Linked DNA regions of Cricetulus griseus. The protein of the gene in region 7 interacts with the protein of the main gene of each other region in a pairwise test. Links are inferred from orthologs where the notes say so. Each region holds a gene or a part of one and is shown on either strand. Other genes may lie near its edges.

Region 1 (4,790 bases), on a different chromosome or scaffold from region 7:
TGTCCTCCAATTTGTAATAAAACTGAACAGTTCCTCTATAGTGGTAAACAACAGAATCAGAGAAAGGTTTCACTGTTTCAAATACATCAATAATTTGGGCTGGAAAGATGGCTCAGCTGTTAAGAGAGCACACACTGCTTGCTCTTCACAGAGGACCAGGGTTGGATTCCTGGTCCCCACATCTGCTTGTATTCCAGCTCTCAAGGACTTAATGCCCTCTTCTGGACTCTATGGGTATCTGCACTCAAGTGAGAGATACATAGGTATATAATTTAAAATAATCTTTAAGAAATTTAAAAAAAAAAAAGCTGGGCGTGGGTGGCACACGCCTTTAATGGGAGGCAGAGGCAAGCAGATCTCTGTGAGTTCAAGGCCAACCTGGTCTCTAGATCGAGTGCCAGGATAGGCTCCAAAGCTACAAAGAGAAACCCTATCTCCAAAAAAAAAAAAAAAAAGAAAAAGAAAAGAAAAAAAGAAATTTCAAAAAATTGCTATTAAAACTCTGCTGTGGAGCTGGAGAGATGGCTCAACAGTTAAGAGCAGTGTCTGCTCTTCCAGAGGATCTCAACCACATCTAACTTCAGTTCCAGAGGAATTGATGCCCTTTCCCCGCCCTGGTAGGCACCAGCAAGAACACGGTGAGTATAAATGCATGCAGGCACACCCATACAAAACCTCCTCTGCCATGATTCTTGAACTAAAGATAAAAATCTCAAGCCAGAGATAATCTGCATTCATTTCAGCTTCTGTTTTCCACAGCTGTGGAACTGCAGCCAGCAAAGTACTTGGACTTATCAGGAATTCAGATAGTATTAAATTCCTGAATAAACTGTTTTGCTCAGCACCTTAAAAAAAAAAATCACTTGGAGGAATCAATACTGCTTGTTTTGTTCAACTCGGGGCTGTATGATGAGCTTTACAAAGCAAACAAAGAGGCAAGGCCAGTAGTTAAACCTGGCATCATCTAACAGCTTTTCGTTGACTTTTAAAAGGGCAGCCTAGCCCAAGTCCAAGGCTTTCTATCTAGCTGACTTTCCAAACTAACATCTGGTATCACATGTAGGCTGGGGGTTCGTTTGCTCCTGTAAGAGCCACTAAAAATGAAGCAGAAGCTGACTGGCCTATGACAAACACATCAAAGCTCTGTCAGACTTTGGGATAAACAATCACATAGAGCTCAACCCTTTTTGGTTCTGTTGTTAATAAAGCCTTAAGGAAAGTAAAAATCCCTTTGTATTCTGTGAAACCACATACCCACACTGACCAAACACTTAAGTATTAAGAAGACACCGAGCACAACTGACTCAGAAGGGACCAGGCAGAAGGCACACATGTAAATAAGCACGCACACCCCAAGACAAGACTCCTGAAAGCACCGTGGGAACTCAAATCACAAGCACCACTTCTAGGAAGAACACAACAGGTATCTCTTTTGTCTCATCATTTCTAAAAATGTATGCTAAGGACAGATAGAAAATTTTAAATTTAATATTACGTGATAGGAGTAACATTTAAGGACACACTGACTAAATCTTTTTAAAAACCAGCATTTAGAGATGTGTCTTATCAAAAGATGGGGCAGGGGCAGAGCATCTTCAAATACCTGAATTCTTTTTATTTACTGATTTTTTGGTTTTGTTTTGAAACAGTCTTACTCTGGGGCCCAGGCTGGCCTCTACTCCACACTGCTGGAATGACAGGTATGCGCCACCACAATGAGGTAAAATACCCAAATGGTCTTCTCATCCTGTAGGCTCAGCAACAGCTCTTCGTCAAACTATCTGGCCACGCCTGAAGCACCCCCTCTTATGAAAGACACCGCCTGACCTTTAAACATCCAAATGGCTTTTAAAGAACTTTGCCTTGCCATATGCCAACTACCCCCACTGCCTCTTTCATAAGACACGAAGTACAGAAAGGTTGGGCAAGAAGGTCGGTTGATCTCACAACAACAGGGGACACTCTGAGGACAAGACGTCTGTTAGAAGTGCACTCCATTTGATTGCAACTCCATCCTGACCATCAACTTTCAAGTGCCAGTGCTTGTGTCCTAGGTCTGTTGTGTTGTTCACTGTATTTCCCAAAGTCCACTGCCCAGATTGATGATGGGTGTGATCTGAGGGGACCGGCTGGCCACTCAATCCATGTCACACAAGAAACAGCACTTGAAAAGCCCTGAGCACGGTGGCCTATGACTGTCATCCCAGAACTTGGGAGGTTGAAGGCAGGAGGGTCAGTTCATCATCAGCTACACAGCGAGTTCGAGGCCAGCCTTGGCTACATGAGACTGTCTCAAAAAAGAAAAGGTACTAAAATAAAATAATTCCAGGTTAACAACAACGATTAAAAAAAACTCACTTAAGGAACTTGGGAAATTCTCAGGAAAAAAAAAAAAAAGGTAAATGACAGGGGCGGTACAAGCACCCTGCACAAAACTCCGCTGACCCCTGGACTGGCATGTGGTATAGGGCGAGCCCCGCACACCTGCGCTGCCGCACGTCCACCCGCCACGCCCGGCGGGCCGCGTCCATCTCCCGGCGTCCCCGCCGCACGTTCCCGGCCCCGCTCCGCCCGTCAGCCCCAGCCGCCCCCAGCTGCGCGCGCCGCCCGCTTCCGACGCCCGCCGCGACCCTAAGCCTCGGCGCCGGGAGCGCAGGCCGCGAGCCAGCGCCGAGCGCCTGCTCCTGACGGGAACGCGCCGCTGTCAGTCACACGCGCAGCCTCGGTCCCGACCAATGGGCTGCCGTCTGCTCCCGCCCCCCCGCGCGGCGGCGGCGGCGGCGGCCGAACGGCTCCTCCTCCCCCATCCCTCCGCCGAGCCCGGCGGCCCCGCGCTCACTGTTGAGGCCGGCGGGCGGCGGCAGGGGCTGCTCCCCTTCCTCGCAGTTGTTGTTGTTGTTGTGCAGGGGTGGCGGCGGCTCAACTAAGTGAGACATGGTCGGGAGACTGGGAGCGGCGCGGCCGCAGCACGACAGTATCCGGCTCTCGGGCAGCAACACAACAAGTCGAGTCCCCCCGCCCCCTTTTCTGCGTCTGCGCAGTCCCTCCCCGCGTGACATCAGGACCCTCCCAGACCACGTGATGACAACACTGGTGGCAGGGGGCGGGGTCTGAGCGGGGAGGGGGCGTGTCCGGGACGGCCTGGGGCGGGGCATTAGAGGGCTGTTCGGGACGTGCGGGTGCCTGAGTAGTGCTGACGCGGCGGGCGGCGGGCGGGCGCTGGGAACGAATTCCTGAGAGTCAGTCGCACTAGCCACAAGGGTTGAGCTAGGCAGTTGGCCTTGTGTCTGGTCCAGGGAGGAGAGTGCAGCCCGGAAGCGCCGGGCGTGAATGGAGTCCCTCCCACGCCTGCAGCGGACACGTAAGAACTCAACCTTGGCTTTAAAGAAGCAGAAAACCCCAGTTCCTTCCCTTGGTGAAACATCCGTCCGTGCCTCCCACAGGACACCGTGTGAGGTACCTTGGAGCTAATCACCCGCCTGGAATTTCTGAAATTTTAATTGCAAAGGTAACATGCAATCCTAGTGAAGAATCTATAATGGCTGGGCGTGGCGCACACCTGTCAAGCCAGCCCTCGCGCAAGCTGAGGCAGGAGGATAGCGAGTTCCCTGCAGCCTAGGCTACAGCGCAAGCCCTTTTGCCTTCAAACACAAAGTAAAAAGCAACAACAACAAAAACCAGATCTACCCAAACCCTGACGCTTACCAATCTCTGGAAATGATCTAACTCTTGTATGCTCCTGACTGTTCCTAAATACTCCTACATCCTATCTTTGCCAAATTTCCCTGACCTGGTTTTTTGTATAGGAAGTTTTCTCAATACGGTACTTGTCTTTTAACTTTGTTTCTGTTTGCAAAGTTGAAAATTTTCATGTAATTGTGAAACAAAACCAAACAAACTATGATCTGGGAATATCCACACTTCTAGGACCAGCCAGTGAGCTAGCTCAGCTTGCTGTGCAAACCTAATGACAGAGTTGGTTTCTCAGAACTCAGGTTAGATGAAAAGCTAACTCCACAAAGTTGTCCTCTGACCTCCACATATGAACCGTGGCCTGTGCCCTCCCCTATAAACCATACACACGTACACAATAATCTAAGATTTTTTTTTTTTTTTGGTTTTTTGAGACAGGGTTTCTCTGTGGCTTTGGAGGCTGTCCTGGAACTAGCTTTTGTAGACCAGGCTGGTCTCGAACTCACAGAGATCCACCTGCCACTGCCTCCCGAGTGCTGGGATTAAATGCGTGTGCCACCAACGCCCAGGTCTAAGATTTATTTTTAATTACACATGTTTGCCTTTAGAGGCCAGAGGTAACAGATCGCGCTAGTGCTGAACTTTCTAGAAGTTGTGAGCCACCCAACCTGGGTGCTGAAAATCAAACTCCGGTCCTCTACAAGACCAGCACATGCTATATACTGCTCAACCATCTCTCCTGTCCTATTAATAATTTTTTAAGGATTATGAATTTATTGTAAAACTCTAATTCTCTTAGGTTTTGTTTTACATTAGATGCTCCTTTAATTCCCCTGAAATTAACTTTTCATTTTGTAAACTGTCTTTGATTCTTCCCAACTTTATAGCCAACTGACCCAATGATAAATATCTACGGATATTTCGTTTACTGACCTCTTTGAGGGAGGGGCTCACCTTGTCACTTTGTAACCCACTCTAGTCTAGAACTCACTGTGAAGTTCAGTCTGATCTCCAGCCTTGAGACTCTCCCTCAGCCGAACTACAGGTGTGAGCCACCATGCCTGGCTGATATGTAGCCTCTTTTTTGTTGTTGTTGT
Region 2 (2,628 bases), about 210 Mb from region 7:
AAATCCTATCATGGTTAGTAATTGTCACAGACACACAGTAAGATATTCTTGATTGTTGATCACAAAGCCCTAGAGAGAGCAGATTTGTGGTTAACTTATTTAATGTACTTGAATTCCTTTATCCTTGAGAAATATGAGAATCTGATCTTTTACCTATTTGATTTTCATAAGCTTAAAAATATTAGTGTATAGATAAATGACATGATCTTTATTTCAAGGTATTTATTCTGACAGCATAACTAATGTGGTAATAATAATAGTAGCCATACACGTGAGGACCCAGTGAGCTATTTTGAATAAGAACACTTCATTTAGATGATCAGTTTTGTGGAGACTTGAGAAATACTTAGTTCCTGTAAAAAAAAAAATGGTGAACTTCTTAGCAGTAGGGTGTAGAAAGTGAACATTTTTGTAGTGCTTTTTCAAAATTAAAATTCATACTTCATGGTCAGAAATAATTAGGAAAGATATTTATGGGCCATTTTGAGGAAATTGGCAGCTACATTATGCACACTTAGTCATTGTAAAGTTTGTTTACAAGATCCAGTAGGTGAATACATTGGCTAACAATTTGCTTCCCTCTTAATCTTGACCTTTAGAAAGACATTCTAGACAGGGAGTAGGCTGTATTGTTTCTCCTCTTGAGGGAGTGCTGGTTTGAAGTTGAACTGGCATGTTACAGATCCTGGAGGTGGTGGCAGCACTTCATAGAAGCATTACGATGATACAGATCAGCAGGAGACATATCAAGATGAGACAGAAATTGATAAATAGATTCTGGAGATTTTGGCGTGCTTGCTGAGGCATTTCAATAGTTGAGGCTCTCCTGATAGCAGAGCGAGTGAGGTATTGGACTTTTTCCATGATGCAATCAGGAAGCCTGAAGTTTTGAGTGGTCAAGAGAAAGAAAGAGCTGCTTGTAAGCAGGCAAGTGTAAGCAGCTGTCTTCTGTTAGGAGGCCTGGAATGTAAAAACAGTAAATGGACCAGGTTAATACCTATACCCATACCCATTCTCTGGGTCTCTGTGTTTTATGACATCAACTGTCCCTGGGCTCCATGGTCTCTGCTTCTATATCTCGTATGTTACTTCACAGTCCCATTTGTCCTGTTTGAGCTGTAGGAACTGTGGTTTTTGGCAGGTATTACTTGGTTTATGGAATGCTATCTCTCTGATGTAAACATAAGTGTTTCAGGACAAAGAGATGCATATAGTAAATTAAAAGCTTGGTTAAACATGAAATAAAAAAAACAAATTCTAGCTGTTTGCCTTCTTCTTTATGATTTATACCTTTGATGCCCCCTACTATTTTAAATACTGTACATGATAATGAATACTAAAGACTGCTAAGCTTGGAAGGCACTGTAATAATTATTGTACAAAACTACCATGGACAGTTCCGATTTTCAGCTAATCTTGCTTACCTGGTTTGTGTCTGGCCTTCTTTCAAAGTTCCTAAACCATTGCTGAATATGTAGGGTCTAAAGAGTTGATAATTAATAAACAATAAAGCTTATTAATAAACTAAGTGTACTGTCCGAAGGCAGTAATCAGTCTGGCCTCAAACTGGAGGCCGCCACCTTTCTGCCTTTGCATACTAAGTAAAGGGATTACTGTCCTATACTACTATGCTGGGCTAATGTTTTGTTTTTTGTCAGAACATTTTTGTGTCAGTTTTAAAACAGGAAGAATAAACAGAAACAAAATGCAATGATTTACTGTCTAGAGACCACTGTGTCTAATTTGTTGATGCATCACTGTCAGCAGGATATTATTATAGACTCTCGCTGGCAGTTGGATTTGCTCCCTTGGCTCTGCATTCTTGGGAACTCACCTCAGTCTGCTGTCCCCACATCTGAGACAAGTGCTGAGGAGAGGAGAAAGGAGACTGAGAAAGGGGGAGATTTGCATCAAGCAGAACCAGCTAGAACTTGGTGTTTATTTTATAAAGATGGCATAGTTCTCAGATCTTCAGCATGGCTCTATTGAATTGTAGTAGTGAATTGGATTTTCATTTGGTGTGTGTTTCTGTCCTTCATGTGTATGCTATGATAAAGAGCCACACAGGGTCAATTTATATCCAAATCTGTTCTCAAGCTGTGTGCCACCATGAAAGTGTTTTTAACCTTATATTGAGGCTTCAGAAAGAGATTGAAGGGAGAGAGTGTTAGGGAAGTATTAAGAAAAATTGAAAAACACTTAGCAAATATACCCCTGCTTACCTACTCAGCTCTTTTTTAAAGCTCTGGAGAAGTACACACTAGACAGCACTAGAGGTCCTCAGTTGACTGCGACTCTGGAGGGGAGAGGGGAGAGGGGAGGGAGGAGCATATACTCAGGCTTTATTTTCCTGTGTTTATTTGGTAATGAATGCTTCAGAATTGTCAGGTAAGGATACTGATGCACCATTTTTCTTATCAGTTCATGCTGCTGTAACTTAGAAGGATTATGTCCTTGATTCCCAATTCTAAATTTTCGCTTTTGTTAGAGTGTGAATTCACACATTAGATGAACAAAGCCAGATCCTTTTGTTCTGGAACCTTGAAAATAATGACCAGTAGTTAAAATGGTGGAGTGAGTGGGTAAGAAAGGAAATTGATTAGATATGGGAGTGGAATAAAGTATCGA
Region 3 (4,796 bases), on a different chromosome or scaffold from region 7:
CAGTTGGGTGGCTTGGGGCCACTAGCAGGGGAACAAGTATTTATCCCTAGTGCATAAACTGTTTTTTGGAGCCCATCCCCTATAGAGGGATACCTTGCTCAACCTAGATACAGGAGTGAGGGCCTCGGTCTTGCCTCAAGGGATGTGACAGACTCTGATAATTCCCCATGGGAGGCCTCACCCACTCCGAGGAGTGGATGGTAGGTGGGGTGGGGAGAAGGTGGGGTGAGTGGGAGAGGGAACTGGGATTGGTATGTAAAATAAGACAGTTTAAAAATAACATTAAAAATTCATGTGTTGAAATCAAACTCTCAATATAATAATATTAAATGTCAAAGTTTTTAAAAGGCGATACAGCAAGAAGACACCCATAACCAAGAGGCAGACATTCACCAGACACCGAAGCTGGAGCTCATTTTCCCCAGTCTCTCTGGTGCCCATAACTGTGGAAAAGAGATTTCTGTTGTTTATAAATTACCTGGTTGTGGTATTTTGTTATAGTCTCCTTAACAGACCACCTTCTAGTTTTTGTAAGACTTATTTATTCACCGAAGTAACTCGAATCTAGTTGTAGGGAATCTGGTAGGGTTCTACATCAGGCCTCTCTTCTCTTCCACAAAGAAAGTAAGGATGGAGAAACTGTCAGTAATGAGACTCGTGACAAAAAAAAATATGTGTAAAAAGAGGGAAAATGGGATTAAAAACTCAAAGAAATGGTGAATTCAGTTGAAGGCCTAAACCATCAAATGAGATACTCATGTGAAATGGGGTAAAGGCAACTGTAGGTAAACCACCACTGTAGGAACTGTAGGTAAACTACAATTGTAGAAACTGTAGGTAAACCACCACTGTAGGAACTGTAGGTAAACCACCACTACAGGGAAGGAACCAAGTCTAGAACTCCTCTTGGGAATTGCAGAAGTTATCAATACTATTGAAAGTTTACTTTGCCCAAAGAAATGTCTTTGGACAGCATTGGAAAGTGTTAGAGAGCATAGATGACATATTACACATGACAATATATAAAATCATTCTTAATAATTCCATCAGTGTCATATAAAAATGACAGAGTACTCCAGCAAACCTGAAAGAAGCCTCTGCTACTTCTGTGCAGCAACATCAACTGTCAAAAACAGAGCCTTAATTGGCAGTGACCTTTTAACAAGAGGCTTGGTTCAGAAACAGGAGTGGGACTTTTAAAAGTTCCATTTGCTCCTAGAAGGTCACTGGGCCCCCTCCATTCCCAGCACCATCAAGGCGGCTGGACCCTGCCCCCACTTCTGGTGGACTTCCACTGCTCTGGTGCACTCCCCACCAGCCTGCAAGCAAGTGAGAGACCTGCCTCGAGCTGCGCCTCAATCCCAGCCACCCACTTGACACTGTCACATCACGACCCACTGTGCCACCCAACCCCACGCACCTGAACATCTTCCCTGTGGCCAGCCAGGCCCCAAAAATGTAGGCACAGGAGCAAGCCACACCAGTTGGAAGAAAAGATGAGTAAATGCCATTGTAAGAATACATTCAACAACCAGAAGAGCAAATGGTACCACCAGAACCCAGTGATCCTATAACAGCAAAACCTGACCATTCGAATGCAACAGAAACACAAGAAAATGAATTTTAAAATTACTTTATGCAGGTCTCTGAAACTCTATGAACCACATCTTAAAGTGCTTCCTTGACATTCAAACCTGTGGTTCACTTTAGAATAATTAGAGTTGATTTGATTTGTGACCTGTTGGCTATTTCCAATTTGCCTTCCCGTTGAAATCGAGCAATGGCCTGGATGAAAAGCACGGTAAAATGAAGTTTCTTTTGCTGTTCTGCACCAGAAGATCAAAACAGACAAATGATGGGGCTGCAAAACTGAAGAAAGCACCTTACAGTCTCCCAGACGATGGTGAAAGCACAACAGTTTCTGCACCAGCAGAAATGTATAGACGCCATAGAAGACTCCGAAAAGCTGGGAGCTTTTTATACTCCCCAGACTGCAAAAACACAGGAGAATCATGGACATGAAGACAACAGAGAACTCTGATTGCTGTGCTTACTGCACCATTGTGAATTGGAATTTTCGCTCTTGTTGTCTCAAAAAAAAAGGGGGGGGGGTGAATTAATTCACTCTAGTTTCATTTATTTTTCAGAAAAAAAAAAAAAAACCACTGGGACCATAATGACGCATGTTCAAATCCACAGCCAGCGTTGCACAACTATATAAATGTAAAAATGTTCTCCCGGCCTCAGTTTCTCCATTTGTGACACAACCAAATGCTACCTGCTTCAAATGTGGTTGTCAGGATGAAGTGAGAGAAGGCGCCCGAAGTTCTGAGTGAGCTATCTTGGTCCCAGTAAGAGTTTTTGAAGTTGTAAGGTATATAAAAATTAAATGTAAGAATCAATGCTCTCTCTGTAGTCAAATATAGGCTTTTCATTGAGACTTTCTCAGAATGGAGTTGGAAATTTTCTGTATTTTTTCTTAAACAGGTCGAGAATCACTGCTTTATAGTGACTCCCCAGAAGCCAAGGGATACAGCATTAGAATAACTGAAACACTCTTTTTGATTTTTTTCTTTTCCATTTCTTTTTTCTATTTTTAAATTTAAATTAGAAACGAGCTTGTTTCACATGTCAGTCCCAGTTCCCTCTCCCTTCCCTCCTCCCTTGCCCCCCACTAACCTCCTATCCCGTTCCCTTTCTGCTCCCCAGGGAGGATGAGGCCTTCCACGGGGAATCTTAAATTCTCAAGGGCTTTATTTTCACACCATCATTTTACACACAACCACACTAACATCTCTGGATTCCTTCTTGAGATAAATTTCTACATGGTTGTATATAGTTACTTGGGAATCTGTGCTCATAACTATTTACCTTTCTAGGATTTAGCTAAATAAACCCAAATATGCATTGTTAATAATTTCTACTATTACTCATTCTATCAAATAGTAATTAGAATAGCACAAAGAAGCCAATTCAAAATGCTTTCTTCACCCTGCTTATTCACACATATGCATCTATTTATACATACAGCTGCCCAGTAGCTACTAACCAACTGCTGTCTTACACTTCATAAATGGCATTATAGAAGGCAGCCATTGCCTGGGCAAAGGTCCTCCCCAGCACTGCTGTATCAGGTGACAGAGTCAAAGGTTCAAGCTCTGCCACCACCTTCCCTCACCCAGAGGACTCTAACAGGGTGACATTACCTCTCTGGATCCTGACTGCCAACCTCCAGATGCCCAGTCCCAAAATGACGCCGGTCAGCAACCCACACACAATAGCCACCAGCACCCGGATGTTGCAGGAATGGCAGGAACGCATGTTGAAGCCAAACCACTCCACCACTCGTTGTGAAACAGCTAGTTTCTTAAGTCAAGAGATTTCATCAAAGACGGTTATCAAACATGAAAAGAACTCTTCCTTTCAGTGGTCCGTCTGGCAGGCGTTCTCATGTTTGAAGAGTTTTGAGGTTAGTTCAGCGTAAAGTAGTTTCAACGACCTAATAGAAGGTGTGTTTCTGCTTGCAGTGTGCTCACTCTTCAACGAGGGAGATCAGGTGTCTGGGATTCTCAGAAAAGGAAATCAACTGAGAGCAATAAAAAAGGGGAGGGGTTGGCCTAGAGGGTCAAAGGGTGGATCTCCAGACAAGAAGAAAGGAGGCCAGCAAGGAGAACCCAAAGAGGAAGTCAGGAAGGCAACGGATCCCTCTGGTTGTCCACAGCTCAGCCAGTGCTTCAGCACCTCCACACACCTTCCTGGAGAAATAAAGTATGTTGTCAAATGAGATGATAACTGCAGTAGCCACATATGATTTCACTGCTTGCATTTCCTCACATGCTAACAGCTGGAATTAGTGAGTGAGCTTCTTGGCTCGGGGAGAACTACAAAAAGCACTGGAGCCTAGAATCACGACCCCTCTATTATGGATTAAATTATGTCTCCACATTCATGTGTTGGAGTCCAAAGCACCCACAACGTGGCCTTGATTGAAGATCAGTTTGGTAGGGAAATGATCTAATTTAATTCAGGACAATAGAGTGGGCCTTATTCCAGTATGGTTGGTGTCTTTAAAAGAGAAAATCTGTGTAGAAGTGCACAGAAGGACAATGTATAAAGAGACTGGGGATAAGACAACCAACTGCAAAGGAAGTCTACAGAGAAAGGCTCTAGCAGAGCCTTCCTTCAGAGCCCTTGGAAAGAACTAACCTCGATGTCATCGTCACTTAAAACAGTGGTTCTCAACCTGTGGATCGTGACCCCTGTGGGGTCAAATGACCCTTTCTCAGGGGTCACATATCAAATACCCTGCTTATCAGATACTTATATTATTATTCATAACAGTAGCAACATTACTGTTGTGGAGTAGCAATGAAAAATAATTGTATGGTTGTGAGGTCACCACAACACAAGGAAAAATACATTCCTGTTATTTAGGCCACACAGTTTGTGGTACTTTGTTACAACAATCTTAGGAAAGAAATCCTCTACCAGAACGTCTATGAACAAACTAGAACCTCTACGCAGCTGCAGCGGTGACTCTTGGGATTGGTATTCCTCTCCCCAGCCCTCCCTAGTCTCAAATGAAGACACTAATGAGTAGCCATGTCAGGACTGTCACAGGCAGGGACAGGTCCTCAAAGCATTCATATTCTCTTCAGGGTGAGAAACCAAGGAGTTCACCCCTGATAAGACAGGTCACAACTGTTAAAGACAACAAATGTAATTAGCACAGAGTTCTTTTCCAGGAGTATCAAGTGCAGATTTATGAAATAAATTTTACATTTAAGCTGATTGTC
Region 4 (4,212 bases), on a different chromosome or scaffold from region 7:
ACCAGGGAAGGAGCTGTAAGTTGGGCTGTTAAAAATATAAGAAACTGCCACTACAGCCCAGCTTTGAACCGGAGTGTTCATGGAGCTGTGAATTGGCACAGGAAGGTGGTGTTCCCTGCCCTGTCTGGCTGCTTCTGAACTGTAGCACAAACTAAGCCACAGGTAGAGTTCTGAGCTCTACCAAAGTATTAAATCTCAGGGGGCTGTGGAGAGCTTGAGTTTGTCTTTTAGTTTTTTTAAATTTGTAATTGACAGCAGCAGTGTGGATAGCCTGTACTCTGCTTGTGGCTGGTGTCTGACATGGGGCATCCTTGTGGGTTTCAGCCTTTAATTTATGGGATTGGATACTAATTTTAGGCGATACTGTCAGAATATAATTGAATTCTTAGACTCCTCTGATTGAATTTGGAAAATTGGTAGTTGGTGTAGGGAAAAGTCTAAATTTGCCATCAGGAGTGGGTGCTGGGAAGAAGATAACACAATCTCAAACTTTGCTAGATACCAGAAAAGATTTGGATAACATTAAGCTTCATAATATACATTGGAACTGGCTCAGATTCTGAATACTAGATCTGCCTAGACAAAAGGAACTGAACTACCCATGGCTGGCTTTGAACTCAGAGCAACATTCCTGCCTTAGTGACTCAGAACTGCAGGGATTCTAGGTATGAGCCACCATCCCTGGCTTCTGAGTATCATCAGCCAGTGAAGGGAGGAAGGCCAGCAAAAGAAATTAGTGTGTCTGGAACTGGAGTGTGGGGATTTGCAGATCTCAGAGGGCACTGGGGCCTCTGCTTGTGTACAGCCACAGAGGGCTCTGGACTCTGCCCTTCTGAGTTGGTATTGTGCTTCATGTGGGCTATGCCTGCTTCTCCATGAGTCAATCTGAGGGCTAATGAGGAAAATTGTGTTTATTTTCAAATTTGTATTGTATAATCATTTTTTAGCTTACTGAGAGGCTGTTGATGGTATAAACTGTAAATCCAATTTATTTCTGAGCTCCCTCCCCTTGTGACCTATTCTGCAACAAGTACACTGGCCAGGTGTTTCTGAGTGTTAAAGCACTTCTTTTTGGGGTTCTGGAAGCTGTATAGTGTTCTTGCTTCCAGCGACCGTGAATGTGTGTTCTGCTTTGGAGACTCACTATGTACCTTTGGCTGACCTGGTACTGGCTCTGTGTAACAGACTGGCCTCAAACTTACTTCTTTCTCTTGAATTCTGGGATTTCAGGTATGCCCCCATCATGCCTGGCTTTTTAAGGGGATATTGTTGGTCACATGTAGCACAGGTCACAGATTTCTTTAAACTGGTAGCTGAAGGTGGCCCTCATCTCTTTTTTTAACATTTATTTATTTAATGTACATTGGTGTTTTGCTTGTATATACTGTGTAAGGGTATCAAATACCCTAGAACCGGAGTTACAGGCAGTTGCGAGCTGCCATGTGGGTGCTGGGAATTGAACTGGGTCTTCATGAAGAGCAGCCAGTGCTCTTAACCTCTGAGCCCCCTGACTCTGAACTCTTAAATCCTCTTCTCTCTATTGGGTTATAGGTACCTGCCACCATGCATAGTTCCTTTTTCTTTTTGGAAATTTGTGGGGGTTTGTGGTTTAGAAACAAAGTCTTGCTTGATGTAGCCCATGTGGCCTTGAACTTGAAGTGATCCTCTTGCCTTTTCTCTCCCTTTTGGTACTGGAGATTGAAACCTAGGGCCTTTTATAATCTCTACCTTTGAGCTATATCTCCAACTCAGATTATAAGTGGATCCATTTCCCTCCTTGCCTCCCTCCCTTGTGTGTGTTGAGACAGGGTTTCTCTGTGTAACAGTCCTGGCTGTCCTGGAATTTGCTTTATAGACCAGGCTGTCTTGGAACTTAGATCCACCTGACTCTGCTATCTGAGTGCTGGGATTAAAGGTATGCCCTATCATTGTCTGGCCCAAGATAGGGACTCTGTAATCCTGGCTTGAACTGTAGTCTTGAACTTGTATAGACCAGGCTAGTCTTGAATTCACAGAGGTCCTCCTACCTCTGCCTCCCAAGCCCTGGGACAAAAGGTGTGTGCCCCCCCCCCCTGGTTTCTCGGATCTTTGTAGCACAAACTTGTAACATGAAATTCTTGGCTAGGCAGGTCCCACTGCCCTTCTCTGCCCCCAAAGAAGCACACGGACACTAGACACTATATTAATTATGAAATTGTTGGCCGTTGGCTAGGGCTTCTTATTGGCTAGCTCTGCCTTAATTACTGACCCATTTCTATTAATCCATGTATTTCCACATGGTCTTTTCTTGCTGGGGATGGACCTGCAACTCCTTTGCCTGCTACATGATGACTGCTTAGCATCTCCACAGAAAGAGAGATATTTCCTGTTTGTCCCTGCTTATATCCGGATTCTGCCCAGCTTTGTCACTTCCTGTCTGGTCAATCAGTGTTTTATTCATTAACTAATAAGAGAAACATACACAGAAGAACATTCCTCATCACAAAATGACCTCAAGGCTGGTGGGTAGATTTCTTTCTTTGTGCGGTTTTTTTTTTTTTTTTTTTTTTTTTTTAAAGAGGGTTTCTCTGAGTAACTTTGTAGATCAGGCCAGCCTTGAACTCACAGAAATCTGCCTGCCTCTGCCTCCCGAGTGCTGGGATTAAAAAGGTGTCTACCATCACCGCTTGACTGAGTAGGTAGATTTCTAACTGCCCTTTTTGTTTTCTTCAGGCTCCTGGGTAGAACTGCACTTCAGCAATGGGAATGGGAGCAGTGTACCAGCCTCCGTCTCTATTTATAATGGTGACATGGAAAAAATACTGCTAGATGCCCAGCATGAATCTGGACGAAGTAGCTCCAAGAGTTCTCACTGTGACAGGTAGGTTTGCTGGATGTCTTCTACAGTGTTGATGTTTCAGCAGATGGATAATAGCAGTTGTGCATGCTTTTGTGGGTGGGCCTCCAGGTCTAAGGCCACATTTGAGAATAACTCTGGAAGCAGCCTTGATATAAGGAACCCTGGAGTCTGCTGGGATGAAGTGGTCTGGGGCTCAGTTTAGAGGGACCATGTTAAACCTAGGGGCAAATAAAAAAGTTCCTTAATATACTGCCTCTGTTTTGAAACTATTCAGTGTGAACACCAAGTCTGGGTAGTTTTGTTCATGACCCCCAGCTGGCTTGTGTTCCTAGGCAGCACTACTAGGGAGTGAATCCAAGGTGTGTGCTGAGAGTCAGTGATCGAAGGTCAGATGTTTCTGAGGGCTATGCAGCAGATCATGCAGGAGGGTGGAGCGTCCCTCAGAACTGTAGCTGGCTCCCTATGCTCATTGTTTGGCCCTGTTCTGGTGTTAGGCACAGGGGAAGAGGCATGCTTCTAAGAGTCCTCTACCTCCCCCATTACTGAGGCAATAGCCCTGCTTGGGATTTATGCTTGCTATGACAGAATTAACATGCTGCTCTGTTTTGTTCGATTCCTAATCAAGTCCACCTCGATCCCAGACACCACAAGATATCAACAGAGCTGAAACAGACAGCCACAGCTTTGGAGAGAAAAACAGCACTCTGGTAAGCCATAGGTAGGAGCATGCTATAAAGTTCAGCATATCATCAGTCTAGTGACTTTTACATGGTATCACACACACACACCTTTGCTCCCCTTTAGATTTTGAGAGTCTCTCATTTAACATGGAGCTTACCAATTTGGCTAGATCACCTGGCAAGTTAGCCCTAGTAATCCTCCTACCTCAGCCTCCCAAGGCTGAGAAGTGTTACACTGTGCTTGGCATTTTACGTGAGTATTGGGGTTCTGTGTTTTTTTTTTTTTTTTTTTTTTTTTAAGTTTTTATTATGCATATACGTGTAAGAGAATATCACATATTCAGGCGGCCAAGGAGTCCAGAAGAGATCACTGGATCCTTTGGAGCTGGTTACTGTGTTATAAGCTGCCTGGTGTGAGTGGTGGGAACCAAACTCAGGACCTCTGCATGAACAGCAGCATTTTCAACCCAATATTTTAGATTTTTATTTAGACAGGGACTTTCCTGGAATTTGCTATATTGACCAAGACTGGCTTAAACTCAAAGAAATCAAACTGCCTCTGCCTCCTGAGTGTTGTGATTGAAGGTGTGCACCACCATGTCCACTGGTGTTGGGGATCTGAACTGAGGGTCCTGATGCTTGTGCAGTAAGCATTTTATTTACTGAGCCACCTTCCTACCTACCACTCCCCCT
Region 5 (4,747 bases), on a different chromosome or scaffold from region 7:
ATCGTGGAATATTACTCAGCAATAAAAAGGAACAAACTGTGAATCCAGTCTCAAAAGGTCCTATGCTGTTCAATTACATTTATTTATATAACTTTCTTGAACTAAAAAAATTATCCGTAGAAGTACTTATTTCTAACAAACTGTTGGAATAGTGATAAGGAACATGGGATGGGTTGGGGTCCCCAGAGAGTAGCAAAAGGGGGGCTTCTGGTGTGATGAGACAGTCCCGAACCTTGCTCTCGGACAAATCTACAGGGGTAAACTGAAGATTTGTCTCGCCAACCTCAGTTTCCCAGTTTTAAAACAACTCTAGTTAGGAAAGACATGGCCACTGGGGAACTGTAGGGAATGCAAGTTCCTATAGAACCACCATTATCACAGAATAAAAAGTTTTAAAATGCAAATATTAATGCTGAAGATCGGTAAATAAAGCATTGTAGGCAAAGGTCCTTAGAGTAAGCTACTGGAAGCCTGAGCTACCCTACCTGGCCTGTCATCTTCAAGAGCCACAAAGAGCCAGAGGCGTACCTCCATGATAGCCAGAGTGTGGCTTATGGCCATCAGGGAAGATCCCAGCTTGTTGGATTTGATCTGACAATGAATCTGCCCACCGGCTCCATGTGGTGCTCCACAACAGCTGCTGGTGGCTGGGAAGGTCACTGAAGACACCATTGTGTGATGTCACCCCGAGCTACTCCACCGCAGAATCACTGCACCCTAGTTCCTGGGTGTAGGGGACACAGTAACCACGCCTCCTCGGGGCTGGCTACAGGTGTGCCTGACCACGTCCTGGCAGGCATGGTCAGGGTGACGTGAGGGACGCGCACCTGGGAGCCCCTTCTTTTTCCCTGCTTCATTGGTTTGCTCTGCTTACTCCGTTTCTTTCCGGCTGGCTAGGTTGCTCTGTGAGTAAGGCTCTCCCTAATAAATATACCCTAATATCTCTACTGGCTCCGTATCGGTATTCACCTTATACCTGGGTATTGCTTTCTGTGCTCTGCAATGGTGTCCTGGCCTCGCTGCTTTCTAATCCATTCTATAGACCCTTGTCTCAGACCAGAAGACTAAGGAAGGGTCAGGAGTACCTGGAGGCATGGTGCTTTCACATCGATCACATGGATAGCAGAGGGGGATACATCAGACTGCCCAAGCCAAAGACCGGTCTGAGCCAAACTGGCTCAGCACAAATACACGTTTTCCTAGCTTCCGTTCATGGAATCAAAAGTTGATCCTTTCCCCAACCTGGTCCCCTCTTTCCCCGTCTTTCATCCAGGCACACATGATTCTGGAGTCCTTGCTCACAGCGGGTACAAGTAGCATGTGCAGAATGATGCACTCAACACACACACACACACACACACACACACACACACACACACACGCTGCACATGCTCCACCTGTGAACACATGCATACATACAGGTCCTGCCCACTTCTGTATTTTCTAAGTTTTAAACAATGAATAAGGTTGACTTGCAAATTAAAAATTTGGGGCAAGGCTAACTGGAAGGGTACTGCCCTAATGGACTAATCCCTTCTCTAGAACACCAAGATGAAGGCAGGGGAGCCGCCCCAGAATGAAGGGAAAAGGACAACCAAACACAATGAGGAGTTTTAGCCTGGACCCTGGGTCAGAGAAAGGCCATTAGTGGGGAAATGAGCAAATATGACAACAATGGTCAACAGCAGAGTGCTAATGTTAACTTCCTGGCTTGGGGAGATCTGTGGGGTTCAGAGTGATACACACTTCCTGTACTGCTACTGTGTCTTTAAGAGAAATCTAAAATTATTTAAAAATAAGTCAAGAAAACCAAACCAATGACAATGTCCTCTTTTCCTCCAAGTCCCAGGACACCTTGATAGTACTCTTCTAGGAATCCACTGCAGAAGGAGGACAGGTGGGGACATTTGTGGGCCCCTCAAGTGCCAGTTCTCTACCTGGCTGCTTTGCTGCCTCAGCCATCCAGCCTTCTTCGAGTGGCAACTCCCAGGGACAGCCCTGGGCCCTCCCTGACCTGGGACTGGCCATCTCTTCTTGCTGGTGCTGCATTTAAGCCACCCAGAAAACACTCACAGAGACCCCTGGGAGGTAGCCGCCATTCCTACAATGATTTGTGTGACTGGCAAGAATATGCTCAATAAAAAGTGGCAGAGACAGCTCTGTCCTGTCATACATGTGGCTGCTCCAAAGTGAGGGCCACACCCAGGGCCTGGCACACAGAGTTCAGAATGTGATCAGCCTGGCAGGATGCCCACGTTTGTGGGGGATTGAAAGAAACCTATCTCTTAGGTGGGGTCTCTGCCAAAGCCACCCAACTATGGGGCTCAGCTAGCTTGGCTTCCCTTTCTTGATGAACAAGAATGGCTGTTTTAACCAATTTGCCTAAAATTCACTCCATCAGTCCCAGCCTTTCGAGGAGACCAAGAGAGTGGAAAAGGTTGGCCACTGGTGCCAGTTTTATGTACTATTCTGAGTCTTCCTCCCGACACAGAGGCAGCACTGTCAAATTCAGAGCTCAGAAGAAAAAATCACGCACAATCTAGATACTGCAGGAGCAGAGGGAACCTGTTTTCTACTGGATGCATGGCTGAGCCCAGGCAGGGAATAAAGCCCAGTTCTGCTGTGGGGTGCCCCAGAGTCCGGCAATAACAAGTTCTCTGGGGTAACTTGGGCGTTTCAGGAGATTGTTTTATGGACGGTGCTGTCATGAGCTCCCTCCTCTGTGGAGACACATAAATCAAAGTTCAAAGTCAGCTGATGTACTTTGAGAAATACTCGGAGAACTTCTTTTAGAAGGCCTTTTAGAGAGAGAGTCCTCTGGTTCTTTGAACTTTAGGAAAGTACAAACAGCTAGGTGGAAAGAAACCAGGTAATAGAATATTCCGAGACGTCTGGGTAATCTAGAAGGTGGCTGCACACCTTCAATAAACGAGTGTCCTGGGGAAGGTTCCTCTTTGGGAAGGAGGAAAGTTCGCTCTAGAGGGACACAGCCTGGGGTCAGGCAGATAGTATGGAAAGTGGGCACCCGTAGCTAGCTGCCTTACCCCATCCCCGGATGGGGGGTGGCGGGTGGCGGTAGGTCGGTAGCACAGGAGTGGTTCCCAGCCCCTCCCTCCCTGCTGGTGGCCGAAGCCGCACTCACCAGCTCCGGTAGGAAGAAGGCAAAGGGGATGGTGAGAAACACAGCAACGACCCCCGAGGGCACGTCGGGCGGGGCATAGCTGGTGGCCGGCGGTGTGTCCCGGGAAGCCATGCTGTCACCTATGCCGGTATCCTTGCTCCACAGCACTCGCCCGCGCCCGCAGCTGTTCAAGTATCACCTCCCGCCCGACAGACACACCCATCGGACGAGGGACGTCGCCTGGGAGGGGAAAAGAAAGGTTCCAGAAGAGCAGGTCCTTCTGCACAGAGCCGGCCAGCCAGCCAGAGAGAGGGAACTGGTGCTGCCTCGTGAAGGCTCTTTTCTAGACTTTCCCTGGAGCAAACGACTCCAGGAGGTATCCAGCCATGCCCCTGCTGATCTTTACACTCAGGATGTAAGCAGTGTTTTTGTTTTTGTTTTTGCTGATATAAAATACATTTATTGAGGACCTACTATGTGTAACCATCCACAGACACCTCTGGAGCTCAGACAGTCCAGCACGTGGCTATGTTATACTTTTCCAAGAGAGGAGACTGGATAAGAAAAAGGTACAGTCAAGGTCACAGAGTGGTCACACAGATTGCCTTTCTTCCCATCAAGGCGACCCTGGGATTCTAATTGAGGGATTGAAGCAGCCAGGCATTACACCTCCCCTCTTCAGGGATTTGGTGTTGTCCCAACTGAATCACTCTTTGGGGTCTTGCTCTTGCTGTCTTCCTAGTCGAGCTAGGACCCAGGGTTGGGGCCAAGCAGTTCCTTCCCGAGTAGAGCCCAGGGCTGGCTGCCTTGCTGTGTTTCCACACAAAGCTGTTTCTTTCACACGCAAGCCAGGTCTGGAGACTGGACCGATTTCTTCTTTACCTTCCAACCCACTAACCTTCATTTTTCCACCGCCCTGAGGGAAGGCCTGGCGCCCCAGAGTCTTCTTCCTTCCCTCCTTGGCTCCAGCAGGCCAGCTGGAGAGCCTCCCCGGGCAGAGGAGAGGATGCACGGGAGAGTTGTCCCGAAGACTGGGGTGACAGGATGTGTCTTGTTCCTTAGCAACAGCAGGGAGTTCCAGGGCCTGTCCTGGGCAAGGTGGGAGGAGTAGCCAATTGTCTCTGCCAGCCAGGGAGGTGGATTAAATGAAACTCAAAGCCAAAGCCTTGCAAGGAAAGGCAACAGGTAGCCCCCAAACAGCCTATCCTCAACTCTTTCCAAGTCCCAGAGCTTACAGGCCACTCTCAGGTCCCTACACTGTTGACAGGATGGTGCCAAAGCTACTATGTTCTGCTGGAATCTCACCTCTCACCACCTTTTCTGAATATCAGGGACAAGCAGCACACCACTCTTTGGGGCTGTGGGCCCCCTTTGATCTGACCATAATCTACATGGGGCAGTGGGAAGCTGCTATTAAGCTGTAAGAAGTTATACACCGGCTCTAGGGATAGAACTAGGGTCATCAGGCTGTAGGGACAAGTGTCTTTACCTGCTGAGCCACCTCCCTGGCCCAGAAACTATTTGTTCTGAGTCTACTGTGACGTTAGCTATGCACATCGTACTTCCTAGAGCAGCTTCTAAACAAATACTAATGACACAGATCCAGAGAGTCACTGGTGCTTTTGG
Region 6 (3,524 bases), on a different chromosome or scaffold from region 7:
CCTACATATATGGATGTACATAAACATGACTGATGCCTATGGAGACAGGAAGGTGTTGGATCTTCGGAATTAAGAGCTATAGACACATTTGAGACACCATGTGGGTGCTGGGAACTGAACCTGGGTTTTCAACCAGAGGAGCAAGGGCTTATAACCACTGAGCCATCTTGTCAGACCCTCATGGTTTGAGTCAGGGTGTCTCCATGTAGCTCTAGCTGCCCTGGAACTCACTCTATAGACTAGGCTGGCCTTGAACTCAAGATCTGCCTGCCTCTACCTCCAAAGTACTGGGATTAAAGGCGAGCACCATCACTGCCCAGCTGTTTTGTTGTTTGTTTGTTTGTTTTAAAGTTAATTTGCTTCCATGTTTGTGGGGAGTAAAGGCCAGTGGAGGAACTTGCTGGATTGGCTCTCTTAACATGTGGGACCCAGGGAGCAAACTCAGGTGGTCAGGCTTGTCTGAGAGGCATCTTTACCTACTGAGCCATCTTGCCGACTGCACAGGGCTTTCTGACCGTAGGCAATTTTACTTTTTGCCAGGTGGAACAACCTCAATGAAAGCAGCAGTGAGGGAATTTGCTAAGGTTGTCTTCTCTTACCTTTATTGTTCCAGGGCTGCTGTCAGCTTTGGATCTCGTTGAAGTCAATCCTCAATTGGCCACTTCAGAGGAAGAGGCCAAGGCTACGGCCAGCCTAGCAGTGGACGTGATTGCTTCAAGTTTTGGTCAGACAAGAGAAGGAGGACATATTGTCTATGACCACCTTCCTACTCCTAGTTCACCAGATGAGTCAGAAAATGAAGCACGTGTGAGGATTTAGGAAATACTGTACACTGGCACCTTTCACAATGAATGGCATTCCAGAGTTGCAAGGCATTTAAGTGGACAAACATTAAATGGCTGTCTGGATCAACATTGCCTTAATGAGAACATCTGTGCACTCTCACAATTGTAAAATTTCCTTTCTCTATTTGGTGACCAATACTACTACTGTATATTTGGGTTTTTGTTTTTGTTTTGTTTTTGAAGTTCACAAGATATTAATGTTATACATTTAAATCTGAAGGAGTCATAAACAGCATTTATTACCTTAGTATATCATACTGGTCTTGCGCTGTTCCTTCACAAATTTGTGGTTTTCCATTGCCCTCCCCCCATAGTCTGGCTACACAATACATTCTTGAACTGTTAGCCCACAGCAGCAATATATATGCCTAACACCGTTTGGAGTCAAGATTCTGGTCCACAGTCCCTTCCCTCCAGGAAGTTCAATGGTGTCGAAAGAATTTGTAGTACACAAGCCCGGCCAGGATGGCTAGCTCCAGGATGATGATGATGGAAAGCAGCAGCTTGTTGGTTGTCACTCTGCAAAGACAAGCACAGTAAGTAGACATGAGTCTGGGTAACCTTACTTCTAGCCGTTTCTAATGCTGCACACAGTGAGGCAGATGGAATATGTGTTTGTTCACATAGCCACTTAGCAGTAAATCCTACATCCTTTGGCTAGTGAAAATTCATGGTGCTTTTCAGCTATAACTGAAGGACATCACTTAGTACATCAGACATGTGGGAAACAGGAATATAAACACCAAAACATAAACATAGCTTCTTTATTGGAAAAATCGCCTCCACTTGCATTTCTGCTGCTTTAAATATGGTCCTATTAGTTACACATACAGCTCTGAGTGCATATTGGAAGCAGGGTTTTTAGGGTACACTTTGGTTTCAGAGTTAATTAAGCTCATGGATGGGTCCTGCTTTTAGGTCAAGTAACTTGAGTGGCCTTGAGTACTGCCTTTTAGTCTCTTGTAAACTTCTCCCTCTCTGCTCTGCTATCTGAACAGCCACTCTAAAAAATTTACTTCAGATTATCATCTGATCTCTCCTTATCTCACAAAGAATTTACCATGGTTTGGGAAATTCTACTGCAAATACTAGTTAAATGAATGGGTTGTTGTAGTTATTGTTAGCTCACATGTACACAAAGCCATGCCACACTACTATGCACACAGGTTACCCCAGTGTTACTCCCCTTTGGCCTTGTTTTTGCTGCTGCTAGTACTTGCCTCGGGTTTGTTTTAATTAGTCCACGTGTGCACGCACACACAATTCACTTGTGGCAGCCAGAGGACAACTTTAGAGATGCTTCTTCCTCTCAACTCCCCCCACCCCCAACCACCTTTACTGCCTGCCAGCTTATTTGAATACTTCTTGCTAACAGGACAGCACTCCCAAAAAGGGCCTGCCTTGAAAGGCAGGGACTAAGCCCTATCAGTGCTCTTACCGCCTGTGACAAAGCTGCTCAGGAAGTAGAGAGCACATCAGTTCCTTAGGTGGTCTCTGAGAAATGGAGATGGAGATAAGCATTATCCAGCAGATAGCCTTCCTGAGATTTTTAACTACACAAATCTATATTCTTTGGATGGTGAGTGCTGTATAACACTGAGGTTATTTATTAGGACATTTGCTAAGTTACTGTTTTAAGCTTTCTTAGTTGAAATATATTAAGTCTCAAGGAGTTGTGGGCTTTCTTTTTTTTTTTCTTTTTTGAAACTTACTTTCTGGACATTGAGCGGAGAATCTTTCGGCTTTTGCTCAAGTTTTCATTTGTGTTTACCAGCTGAAAGAGAAAATAACAATCATTTCCTTCTTTCAAGACATTCTATAGAATCTGAACAGTGGGCAAGTAAAGGTCATTGTTAATAAATCAATGAATTTAACGGCTTATACCTGAGTATAAATGAAGGGAGCTAGAAAGGTCAATGTGGGTGTGTGTGTGCTCATTTGAGGAGGGAATCACTGTATCACACTGTTCCTGTAAGACTGGGGTGGCTATGAGAAAACTAATTCACTTTGGCTATTCAAACAGGAAGGTTAAAGACATGGTGGTGTATACCTTTAATCCCAGTACATGGGAGGCAGAGGCAGGCAGATCTGAGTTTGAGGCCAGCCTGGTCTACACAATGAGTTCCAGGACAGCCAGGGCTACAGAATGAGACCTTGTCACAGGAGGAGAAGGAAGAGAGAGAGGGGCGGAGGAGGTGATAGAGAATAGTGTCACAGTTGTAACACCAAACCTTTCTGACTGCCAAATAGGAAAGCTTCCCCTGTACCTGGCCAGTGACTGTAGGACAACTAGTGTTTGACAAAATTCAAATCTTGAGAGTCTCTTGAGTTGGTGTTTGCTACTTTTTCTTTGTAAGGGTTTATTTTATGTGTATGAGTATTTGCACAAGTGTGTGTCTACTGCCCACACAAGTCAAAAATGAGCATGGGATCTCCCGGCTCTGGGTCCTCTACAAGGGTGCTGCCTTGTAGACTGGCAAGTCAAGTCAATGCTCCTGGGATCTTGGTTTTTTTTTTTTTTAATCCTTGCTTGAGTGGTTACACTTAATGGAGAAAGGATTAGTCCCAATGTGCCTTTCTCATTTGATTACCTGTTACTAATCTAGTTAGCAGAAGGAAATTTCAATGATGTTCCTTGCTGTATCTCAGATCAATCTTTGGTGTGTTAAGTTCAACCAA
Region 7 (3,965 bases):
TCATTCACTCACTTGCTCATTGATTCAGCAAGTCATTCTGGATATCCTTATCCCAATACCAGAACTCCAGTATCAAGCAGTCCAGAGCAGACTGCCACAGAGGCATTCACAGGCTGATGGGGGTAGCAGAGGTGATGCCAGTGTAACTAGGGCCAAGACACAGGGAGGTAAGGGTCTTTAGGAGCCTAAAGAAGGACTGTTGACCTCCAGCAGGAGTCAGGGAAGGCTTCCAGGAAGAGGTATCATGTGAACTCTGCCTTGAAGGGTGGCCACAGATTCTGGGGAGTGGAAATGACAATGAAAGATCCACCAATGTATAGCAGAAGGTCTTGGCTAAGGCACCATGTCACCATAGGCACGGGGACATGGAGGCGGCCTAAGAATGTTCCGCAGGACTGTGTGGAGAATTAAGGGGGCTGTGGGGGACATGGAACTGAGGGTGTACTCACGGCACAAGCGTTCATCCTCATCCTCACCATAGGGACAGGTGAGAATGCCATCACACACCCCATGGGCTGGGATGCAGTGCCTTCGGTCATGGCATAAGAAGCCTGTCCTGTTGGTCATTGTCACACAGGACTGGGTCCCTGTAGGATCAAGAGAGGCCCCGGAATGAAGGTGGTGCTCATAAAGACAGCCTTGAGATGGGCAAGGTGGGCATTGCACAGGGTCCCCCAGTGAGTCCCTTTGAGCTCCTTGGAGGGCCCGGGGCAGTGGTGAGGCCCTAAACTCCATGGCATCTGTGGGCTGAAGCTGCCACTCTGCCATTGCCATATCATAGCAGGCACAGGTAACCTGGCCCCTCCAGCCAAGGTCCTTTGTCTCCAAAATACAGGTCAGAGCCTAGTCCCAGGGGAATGTGGAATGTCAGGGACAACAAGATAGTTCCAGACACTGTGGATCACAGGGTGTGCAGAGTGGGTCACTGGTTTGGCCACACAGGAAGCATTGAGGGCAGTGTGCCATCATTCACATGGCTTTAATGATGGCTCTCCTGGAACCAGTTTAGCTTGTTGCAAATTGTACATTTGTGCCGTCTAGGGACAGAATGTCACAATCCCTCCCATCTGGGTATACCTTAAGAGTCTGCAGACTTCCATGTTTTTATTGTTCCTCCAAGTACTCCTGAGAAGTGGTATGCTTAAACCCTGCCAGAGGAGGAGAGACACCCACCCCTAGAGGTAGCCCAAGACTTAACGGGGAAACTAAGGAGATGGGAGTCATAGATTGTGCCTGTGGGCACAGGTGTGAATGGGGGAGGGGAAGCAGGAGGCCTGTCAGCACATCGTGCCTCATACCCAGAGCAACCTCCACGAGCCATGGGAAGCACTCTTAGGGACACACACTGCCACAGAAGCAGACAGGAAAACGAACACATTCACATGCACACACCTGCACATTCGGGCACACGCATAAAGACAAGATGCACAGATAGACATGTACACACACATGGACACATGGACACACACACACACACACACACACACACACACACACACACACACACACACACACGGACACGGACACGGACACGGACACATGGACACAGACACACTGGCATGCACACTAATGTGGGCACAGGCAGGCAGGAACCTGCATACATATGGGTGCTGTGGAATATTGAAGATGTGTTACTTTTTTTTTTATGCTGTGGAACATTTGTTTAATCATGCAAAGATGTGTTGCATTCTTTTATGTTGCATTTGTTTAACTCTGTGAAGCTGTGTAACTTTGCCTGTCTAAAACACCTGATTGGTCTAAAAAAGAGCTGAACGGTCAATAGCGAGGCAGGAGAGAGAGAAATAGGTGAGGCTGGCAGACAGAGAGAATAAATAGGAGGAGAAGGCAGAAGGGGATCAAGAAAAGGAGGAGAGAGGATACCAGCTACAGAGTAAGAATTAAAGAAAGGAATAGAGAATAGAGAAACGTGAAAGCCCAGAGGCAAAAGGTAGATGGGGTAATTTAAGTTAGGAAAAACTGGCTGGAAACAAGTCAAGCTACGGCTAGGCATTCATAACTAAGAATAATTCTCCATGTATTTATTTGGGAGTTGGGTGGCAGGCCCCCAAAGAGGAAAAAAAAAGAAAAAAAACACAAAAAGCCAAAAACAAAATAAACCCCAACAACATATGGGCATACACACACACACACACACATGTGAACACAAGCAGCAGGCATTTGCATGCATACAGACACACACACGCACATAGGCAGGCACCTGCACACATACAGACATTCACACACACATGCACACAGGCAGGCAGGCAGGCACCTGCACACATACAGACATTCACACACACATGCACACAGGCAGGCACCTGCACACATACAGACACTCACACATACATGCACACAGCCAGGCACCTGCACACATACAGACACTCACACACATGCACACAGGCAGGCATCTGCATGCACAAGCACTGACACACATGTGCACACATGCATGCACACACGCTTGCATATACAGGTCCATGGCTCCAGTTCACGCTTCTACACTGTCAGGGTGGAATGCTGTGGTTTCACACTTCCTCCTCATCCCTTGCAGTGGCCCCGCCTGGCCATGGAGCCATCTCTCAAAAAGCAAGGAAGAAGTATGGGACAATCCTCTTGGAACATGGCCACCCTCCCAAGTGCAGCTTTTAAGGTCCTGGGCGCCTGACCCCACCCACTCACATCCACCTGGCTTCTTGCCATCTTTCCTTCTCACGTGTCCCATCACAGGGTCTCCACACGCACTGTTCCCTGTGCCTGGGATGCTGTTCCTGACAATCTCCACTTTCTCTTCCCATCTTGGGTCTCTTTCACTCCCCATAGTGCTCCCTCCCTCCCTCCACACTGATCGGATGAGGGCCTTGGTTCCAGACTCCTGACCCCCGTTAGGCCTTGGGGGGGTTTCACCACTTGCATTGGGGGGTTCATCACTGCAGTCAGACCACAGGGAAGTTGTGAACACAGCCTGGTCTGTCCAGGTGGTCAGGGTAGGGAATAGGGAGTGCACTCGCTGGTTGTGGGGGCTGAGGAAGCTCCTAGCCCAGCTCAGGGGACAGAGAGAGTTTCTTAGAGGAAGTAACAGCAAAAACACGACCTCTCGGGAGTGCATGTTGGGGCTGGCTCCGTGGTTAAGAGCACTTGTTGCTCTTCCAGAGGACTTGGGTTCAATTCCCAGCAACCACATGGAGGCTCACAACCATCTGCAGCTACAGTGCCAGGTGTCTGACGTCATCTTCTGTCCTCCCTGGCCACCAGGTACACTTGTGGTCTAGAGATATATGCAGGCAGAACACCCGTATACATAAAAATAAACCTTAAAACTAAAAGAAAAATGTAAAATGACGCATGTCAAGGATGTGTAAAAGGCCTCTTCAGACTTGTGTCCATACATGCACAGGTGTCTGTGTTTGTACCATGAGGAACCACTCAAGCCACTTCAGAGAGAAGCCAGGCAACGCTAGGGCTCCCATCTCCCTGAGCCACCACGCCTCCCTCTTGCCACCCTGACCTGGTATGCGGGGTGGACGTCCGAGGATGGTGGCCACGGCAAGCAAGGTGGCAAGCATGGCCAGCACTAGCATCAGGAAGGCCGAGAGGCAGGCCCCTCTGCGTGAGCAGCAGAAGGGGCCACAGCCTGTGGAAGGGAAGATAATGAGAGGTGCAGGGATCCCCTGGATCCCACCCAGCCCTGCAGGCAGCTCTCCCTTCTCAGGGAGCACTCCTAAGCTCCCCCCCCCTGCCCCGGCCCCCGTGACACTCTCTGGTCCTGCCTGTGCTCCACCATCACCAAATGCCATCGCTAGGTAGCCTCTGCCCCACTGAGGCTGTCTCCCCTTCCTGTCCTTCCTGGTCTATCCTCATGACCAGGAGGGTATGTACCCTGCCTGAAAGGACCACAGGTTCATCACAGCCATGATTCCTATTTTTCACAAAAGTCCTTTATCTCTGTGGATGACAAACTGGGAGTCAAA

The links.
Region 1: the proteins of Ldlrad1 (region 7) and Bnip3l interact in binary tests that used the Homo sapiens proteins (3 or more experiments, as listed by UniProt). The two-hybrid records come from large-scale screens. The link is inferred for Cricetulus griseus from reciprocal best matches to the Homo sapiens genes LDLRAD1 and BNIP3L.
Region 2: the proteins of Ldlrad1 (region 7) and Pln interact in binary tests that used the Homo sapiens proteins (3 or more experiments, as listed by UniProt). The link is inferred for Cricetulus griseus from reciprocal best matches to the Homo sapiens genes LDLRAD1 and PLN.
Region 3: the proteins of Ldlrad1 (region 7) and Adgrg7 interact in binary tests that used the Homo sapiens proteins (3 or more experiments, as listed by UniProt). The two-hybrid records come from large-scale screens. The link is inferred for Cricetulus griseus from reciprocal best matches to the Homo sapiens genes LDLRAD1 and ADGRG7.
Region 4: the proteins of Ldlrad1 (region 7) and Bnip3 interact in binary tests that used the Homo sapiens proteins (3 or more experiments, as listed by UniProt). The two-hybrid records come from large-scale screens. The link is inferred for Cricetulus griseus from reciprocal best matches to the Homo sapiens genes LDLRAD1 and BNIP3.
Region 5: the proteins of Ldlrad1 (region 7) and Mall interact in binary tests that used the Homo sapiens proteins (3 or more experiments, as listed by UniProt). The two-hybrid records come from large-scale screens. The link is inferred for Cricetulus griseus from reciprocal best matches to the Homo sapiens genes LDLRAD1 and MALL.
Region 6: the proteins of Ldlrad1 (region 7) and Vti1b interact in binary tests that used the Homo sapiens proteins (3 or more experiments, as listed by UniProt). The two-hybrid records come from large-scale screens. The link is inferred for Cricetulus griseus from reciprocal best matches to the Homo sapiens genes LDLRAD1 and VTI1B.

Annotation. Positions count from the first base shown.
Region 1 is NW_023276807.1:221,982,957-221,987,746, forward strand, and holds the start of Bnip3l (BCL2/adenovirus E1B 19 kDa protein-interacting protein 3-like), read right to left. Parts: upstream 3,033-4,790; 5' UTR 2,937-3,032; coding exon 2,840-2,936; intron 2,509-2,839; exon of another isoform or gene 2,485-2,508; intron 1-2,484.
Region 2 is NC_048595.1:255,659,573-255,662,200, forward strand, and holds Pln (cardiac phospholamban), read right to left. Parts: upstream 865-2,628; coding exon 706-864; downstream 1-705. UniProt on the Homo sapiens protein: Reversibly inhibits the activity of ATP2A2/SERCA2 in cardiac sarcoplasmic reticulum by decreasing the apparent affinity of the ATPase for Ca(2+).
Region 3 is NC_048597.1:35,383,522-35,388,317, reverse strand, and holds the start of Adgrg7 (adhesion G-protein coupled receptor G7), read right to left. Parts: upstream 3,322-4,796; coding exon 3,207-3,321; intron 1-3,206. UniProt on the Homo sapiens protein: Orphan receptor.
Region 4 is NC_048596.1:62,076,913-62,081,124, forward strand, and holds part of Bnip3 (BCL2/adenovirus E1B 19 kDa protein-interacting protein 3), read left to right. Parts: intron 1-2,712; coding exon 2,713-2,860; intron 2,861-3,464; coding exon 3,465-3,546; intron 3,547-4,212. UniProt on the Homo sapiens protein: Apoptosis-inducing protein that can overcome BCL2 suppression. May play a role in repartitioning calcium between the two major intracellular calcium stores in association with BCL2.
Region 5 is NC_048599.1:50,860,036-50,864,782, reverse strand, and holds the start of Mall (MAL-like protein), read right to left. Parts: upstream 3,254-4,747; coding exon 3,143-3,253; intron 1-3,142.
Region 6 is NC_048598.1:124,473,667-124,477,190, reverse strand, and holds the end of Vti1b (vesicle transport through interaction with t-SNAREs homolog 1B), read right to left. Parts: intron 2,620-3,524; coding exon 2,558-2,619; intron 1,365-2,557; coding exon 1,268-1,364; 3' UTR 1,053-1,267; downstream 1-1,052. Other genes in the region: Arg2 (arginase-2, mitochondrial), read left to right, coding at 614-819. UniProt on the Homo sapiens protein: V-SNARE that mediates vesicle transport pathways through interactions with t-SNAREs on the target membrane. These interactions are proposed to mediate aspects of the specificity of vesicle trafficking and to promote fusion of the lipid bilayers.
Region 7 is NC_048595.1:42,609,735-42,613,699, forward strand, and holds part of Ldlrad1 (low-density lipoprotein receptor class A domain-containing protein 1), read right to left. Parts: intron 3,629-3,965; coding exon 3,503-3,628; intron 588-3,502; coding exon 450-587; intron 1-449.